Caenorhabditis elegans: one gene and its partner. The protein of the gene in region 2 interacts with the protein of the main gene of each other region in a pairwise test. Each region holds a gene or a part of one and is shown on either strand. Other genes may lie near its edges.

Region 1 (3,759 bases), on a different chromosome or scaffold from region 2:
TTTATATTAATAGTATTTTAGATGAACAATAGAATATTCAATAACCTGGATGAACCATCAACTTCCAAGAATGTAATGCCATGCGCCAAAGCATGCAAACTTAAGAGATCATCAAAAAGAAAGCGTAATTCGAAAAATTAAATTTCTATATTTGTAACATTTTCTTCCTGAATTTGAATATGATTCTCAAAAAAGCCCCTTGTTGATTGCCAATTTTAATTTAATTTTTTTCTTCGAATAAACTATTTTAAATTTAAAAAAAAGTGAGTTTGCACATTTTTTGGAACCAGCTTTTGCTGAAAAAAAATGTGTCCCACGATTTTGAACGTCGCTCACTGTATCAATTTTCGAAATTCTTTTCTCTCTACATGAAACAATACTACGTCCATTTCAAGCTCTCAAAATCTAACAGCACAGTTTCAAATTCAAAAACACGAAATGATTGAGAAATAGAGATGCTCTTTTCAGATGGATTACTTTAATTCAATCTCTGCAGCTTTACTTAAACAACGCAGGTAGGAGGCAGATACTGTCGATCAGAGCGGAGCATTGAGCTTCACGTAGCCTGGCTGTCAAATTGTTTCAGTTGTCCATCCATGCACCATGTCTCCTCCGCCGTCGACACAGTAGGGTTTCCAGTCACTTCCAGCTACTTGTTCCAATCCACATCCTGACGTTAATTTCCAATCGATTCAGTTGTACTTCCTGAAATAAACACCAATATGACATTATTTGTAAATGTATTGAGGCAAGCCATCTACAAGCTTATGAGTTTAACAACAAACTTACAAAATAGCTCCCACTTTGGAGTTGTCTTCTTTTTCCTCTGTCTCCTCTATTTATCCTTTGAACGTTTCGTCTTGAGTAGTTTGTCCGGGGGGTTTTTGTGACATATGCCAGTATGAGTATCTGAAAAAAAAGGTTCATACTCTCAATACTCAAAAAGCTGTAAACTTTATGTTTTATAACATTTTAAAACATCAGATTTACACCTCTGACCCGCACTCACTTTAATATTCCGTTTGGTTGAAGTGAACTGGTTTCCAATTCACACACGACTGTAGGTAAATCGGCTCCATCGTCCGAGGTCCACTCGGAGGTTCCTTGCATACTCATATCTTCGTTCACAGCATCGGAATTGTTGAATTGGCATCATCTTCCCATCCTTCTTGGCAGACCATTTGTTGAAAAGTTGAAGACTGAACACTATGACTAAAACTACTTGCTCATATACCAGTCCTTATCAAGATGTACGTGGTCGTTCAAATAAAAATATTTTTTTAAATTGTTTTCCGTATACCGTATATCCTCTATTAGTAAGACGTGCAAAACTAATTTTCGGACACCTAATTTGATGCAAAACTAATAGAGGGTGCAAAACTAATTTTCAAACAGGTTTTTTCTCATGTTTCCCATTAAGTTATAGCAAATATCATCAATTTCAGTAACACCTTATGAACCAAAATGGACTAATTAATTCCACTAAATTCTTGTATTGAATATAAAACTTGTGAATCTCATTGCCTTTTGAAAATTTGATTTGAAACTTGTTAATTTTTTAATCTAAATATTCCTGATTCTGTCATAAATGGTCGTGTTATTTCGTTCTCTAGACCCCTGTGACATCAATTATTTGAAAATCTAGTTTTGACTATAGTTTTTAATTGCAAAACGACTTTCGAAGCGAAATTTAACAAATTTCATTTTACCCCCAAGGTATACGGTAGACAAGTACGCAAACACCAACAACAATATTGCACACATTACACAGAAGTTGCCGACAGTTTGCTAAATCAATGGGATTTTTTTACAGCAGTTTTTCCTTTCTTCACGATAAATCGTTCTGAAAAAGTAATTAAAATTGTTATTTTAGTGTAAAATTTAAAAATTAAATTATTGTTTTCAAAATGCGCGATTTTAAATATTGCAATCTTCATTACGTAGGATTTTTCCGCACTTGAATTCTCCAAATGTTCTCGAAATTTATTGAAAAGCTTTAGAAGCCATGAAGTTTCTGGAAAGCTCCGAAATGGATGTTTTTTCGCAGACACTCGTTACGGGAGCAATCGATTGTGTTATTGATTTCAAGTGAGTCATTTATCTCAATATTAAGAATAAAACAAATCGTTCAATTTCAGATTAGAAACGTATTCGTCGAAAATGGTTACTAGCGAAAAGAAACAATGGAAATCGAACGATAAATCTGTGATATGGGGTGAACGCCAGCCTCTAGGATCTTACGAGGAAATGGTGATGAGTGCATCGCCCAGTGTTGGTCACAATCATCGGCTTCGCCATTTATCGGAACGCTCGTGCTCAGGAGGATCAGACAACGATTTCGACGTGAATGACTACCTGATAAAAGACTCAATTTCGCGAAAGAAATTGTATGATCTGACTCAAGTTCTGAACTGTTCGTTTCCGGATCACGATTTCAGTAATGCCAACAGTGAAGCGTTTGCTCTCGTCAATTATTCGGTTAGTAGCTTCTTACAGCTAAATAACATTAACGCGCATGATTTTTCAGGACCTGAGCCGTCTCGTTGATATGAAGCTTGAGACAATTGTCAGAGACTATCACGTGAGAAGAGAAGAGCTATGGGGAATTATTGATGAGGCAATTGTGCCCGGTGACTGTCAAATATACAGGTATTCCGTTTGATTTGAGAGGATATTTTATATAATTTCCATATTTTTCAGCTTCAAGTCCCAATTCGAAGACGATCCGTTTACCGAAGACGGTTGCATTTGGGCACTTGCCTTCATTTTCTACAACAAAGGACTCAAACGTTTTGTTCTTCTCACAATTCGTTGCCTATCGAAACAAGCCGACACGTCCATCGAAATTTTCCCCGATTTCAGTGAAGACGAGGCGGAACCACAAGAGAAATAGAGTGCAGATTATTCATGTAGAACGCTTAGAATAGACTAATATTCAAGGCGATATAGTATTAGTCTTGCCGGCCAAGCCTCTTTCCCTCTTGTAGTTCTTCTCTTGTAAATAGATTCCATTTCTCATCAATCCTCAACCTCCTCCTTCACCTCTCGAGTTCGCATTTAATTTGCCACTTCCCACACACCTACCGCTAGATTAAAGGAACAAATACTTCGATTCTCATTCCTTTTCGTGGCTCGTAGATATCAATTTTCACAAAAACCGCATCATAAATACATAAAATTGTTTTTTTTAAGTTAATCAAAATCGATTATTTTTTGGTTTCAACCGTTCTGATATTTTAATCAATTTTTCCTCAAATTTATTTGGTTAAGTTCAGTTTAATTTATTTTCAGTGAAATAATGCCGAGCACATCAATGATCGAAGATCGTTCTGAGATCGAACGTCGGCGATTCGAATATCTCGATCATCCGGCAGATATTCAACTTCACTCTTGGGGATCCACAATGGAAGAAGCCTTCGAAGCATGCCTCGTATCAATGTTCGGCTATATGACGGATTTGGCCAAGGTTGATGAGGTAATTTGAAATTGAATTAGATCGCCTCTTGCGCCTTTTAAGAATTTTTCCACTTTCCTCTGTTTTGTCTAATTTTTCTTACTTCACTTGAAATATGCTTATGAACATATGAAATTGCAATTTAAATCGATATCTTGTAGAAATTTTAGCTTTTGTTCGTGTATTCTCTAGTTTTGAAGCTGCTCCCAGAAAAAAGCTCAATTTTTGCCTTCTTGACTTCATTTTCGAACAAAACCCACAATTTCTACAAGAAACTGATTAAAATAAAATTTTAATTTTGCATT
Region 2 (2,824 bases):
TTCAAAAAGTCAGTGGAAGTATTTATTTGTCAAGAAGATCAAGCTGTAAAGTTATTTTGAAGAGCAGCCAGTTTCTTGTTGAGCTTCTGAATTTCATGAAAGCTATCAATGATCTTCTTCTGTTCTTCAATGACCATTCTCTGCAAGTAGACTTCCTGAAGAAGATGTCCAGGTCCAAGAATGATTGTTTCACTTGAAGAATCCGAGGTGGTAGAAGATGGAGAAATTGGAGATGAAACAGATTGAGCCGTGCATGGGAGTGATTCTAGAATTAATAAATATTTAAAAAAAACTACTTTCAAAAAAACTTACCATCTTCAGAAATATCGAATTTATGATTAACTGCTCCATATATTTTCATCGAGTCGATTGGAGATTTGACGAAAACTGGAAGTTGTGGGAAAGATGGATGAGCTGGAGAATTCCACAAAAACGTGTTCATATCTTCCGTAGCAACCTCCGTTTTCTCAAAAAATCCCTCGTACTTCCCGAAAAGTGATGCCGTAGATGTTGTGGAGGGTGCAGCAAACAATCCATTCATCTTCTCAAAAATCGATTCCATCTGTTCTTTCTCGTTATCAAGGCAATTAAAGCTCATCCAGAAATTGGCCATAAGCTCCGCAGCCTCATTGATCTTTTTTGATTCTGTAGTTGTTGGGACTGGGGAGACGGTCACCTCAATCAGTTGATCTGCTTGGAGAGCCAATAATGGGCAGCTAATGCTCTTCTTGATCTCCGCTGTAACTCTTGCAGTTGTTGGAACAACTGGGCAAGATTGAACCTAAAATATGACCCTTGGTTTTAAAATCCAGCTCGTTGTACAAACCTTGTTCAAAGCTGTCCTTGGCTGAGCCTTTTCAACGATCGGACAAATGACTGGAACTGTTTCCCTTCTCTGTTCGGCTTGACGCTCGATCATCTCGAGGAATTGTCCAAAAGCAGTGTAGACAGTAATCTTCTTGACCATAGTGTTAGTAGAGTTGATTGTAGTTGGTTAGTAGAGCGATGAAATTCGCAATAAGTAGATTTATGATTTCAAGCTTGTATATAATCAGTCTTATCTTGATGGCCTAAGTTTAAGCGTAGAAAATGAACAAACGGTCACGTAAAATTAGAATTGAAATCTTTTTATTTTATTACCTGATATAATGTTTCAAAAGTTGGGAAATAGCAACACCTGAAGATTTAAGGTTTAAGGTTTAAAAAATGCGACAAAGACATTTTTTGGACAATATTCTCAAAAATAAATGTATCCTTTCATTGCTGAAATTCGTTGTATATGTATGTATAGTGTTTGCCTTATGAGCCAAAAGTTCAAAAAAATTATAATATTAATCGAGAATTTCTGAAAATTGAAGAACTTGATCTTATCGTGAGCCTGCTTGGTCTGCTTACAATAGAGTTGGAGGTGGCCCCAACCCGAACTGCCGAAAGTTACCGTTTCTGGTCTAGATCAAAATAGATCAAGCAATACTAGATCAATTTTAGTATTTTTGTTGCACCTAAGTGCAAAAGAAAAAAGCAATATAAGTAGCTTAATACAAGTAGCATATCACAGAAAACGAAGAGGTAGTACTAGATCAAAATTAGTTTAATAAATAGTCTTCATTTCCTTATCCTCTAGACAAAAAACAAAAACAAAACAAGTAGATTAATAATTAGCATCTCACAGAAAACGAATAGGTTTCCTTTGTTACTCAAAGGTATCAGAACAAGTGTAAATTGATGAAATTATTCAAAATAGCTACTAGCTAAAACTGATTTTTTTTCAAATTTCAACGTGATCTCCTATTTTTGGATGAACTTCCAGATTTAGGGCAGAGATAAGAAGGCTGCTATAAATTTGGAAGATTTTGCCATAATCTTCATAGAGTTCTCATAACTCCTTCATCGAACGACCATGGCCCAATCCGTCCCACCAGGAGACATCCAAACTCAACCGGGTACCAAGATCGTCTTCAATGCTCCATACGATGACAAGCACACCTACCACATCAAGGTGATCAACTCATCGGCTCGGCGTATTGGATATGGTATCAAGACCACCAATATGAAGAGACTTGGAGTTGATCCACCATGTGGAGTTCTCGACCCAAAGGAAGCTGTGCTTCTTGCTGTTTCCTGCGATGCCTTCGCCTTCGGACAAGAGGATACCAACAACGACCGTATCACTGTTGAGTGGACCAACACCCCGGATGGTGCTGCCAAGCAATTCCGTCGTGAATGGTTCCAGGGAGACGGTATGGCTCGTCGTAAGAACCTCCCAATTGAGTACAACCCATAGAGTCCTTGTGAAATAAAAGAGTTTTTTATGAATGCTTGTTCTTTCTTTGAAACAAAATGTAGCCTCACTTGAGCTCTTCCTCTTGATCAGCTGGCTTAAATTCCATGCTTAAATATAACCAAGTCTCGAAAGTATACAAAGAATGTACACAAATTAATCGAAGCAAACCGGGCTCACGAATCCTATTATTTCTACTAGATAAAATTCGATTGACTCCACATCCTTTCCTGTAGAAATTTTTTGTTGCAATTCCTACTAACATGCGAAATGGCTTTTTAATAAAACTGTCTAGAAGTTCACTGAAATTTGCCAACTTTGTAACGTTGGACCACGTGGGTACATTCGAATTTCAAAACAAAGTAAACTCATTTTATTTTCAATCATTTTCATTTCTCAACTGAACATGCTAACCATCGAACCTCCATCTGCCACATTTCCAGCGTCAGGAGGAAGTTCCACGCACACAATTACGTCAGTGAACGAATCTCGAATGGCGTTTAAGGTATTCGATAACTGTTAATTAGCGATGTGCGCAGTATT

What was found. Proteins that work in one complex are often made in the same cells at the same time.
Region 1: the proteins of msp-77 (region 2) and mafr-1 interact in a two-hybrid assay, tested with the Caenorhabditis elegans proteins (one large-scale study listed by BioGRID).

Annotation. Positions count from the first base shown.
Region 1 is NC_003279.8:10,621,173-10,624,931, forward strand, and holds mafr-1 (Repressor of RNA polymerase III transcription MAF1), read left to right. Parts: upstream 1-2,000; 5' UTR 2,001-2,005; coding exon 2,006-2,088; intron 2,089-2,138; coding exon 2,139-2,478; intron 2,479-2,527; coding exon 2,528-2,649; intron 2,650-2,700; coding exon 2,701-2,893; 3' UTR 2,894-3,189; downstream 3,190-3,759. Other genes in the region: Laminin subunit alpha lam-3, read left to right, coding at 22-141; arch-1 (Protein archease-like), read left to right, coding at 3,299-3,475.
Region 2 is NC_003282.8:9,892,731-9,895,554, forward strand, and holds msp-77 (Major sperm protein 77/79), read left to right. Parts: upstream 1-1,900; coding exon 1,901-2,284; downstream 2,285-2,824. Other genes in the region: sss-1 (Sperm-Specific family, class S), read right to left, coding at 39-265, 313-781, 827-967; ssp-32 (Sperm-specific class P protein 32), read left to right, coding at 2,688-2,786. UniProt on the Caenorhabditis elegans protein: Central component in molecular interactions underlying sperm crawling. Forms an extensive filament system that extends from sperm villipoda, along the leading edge of the pseudopod.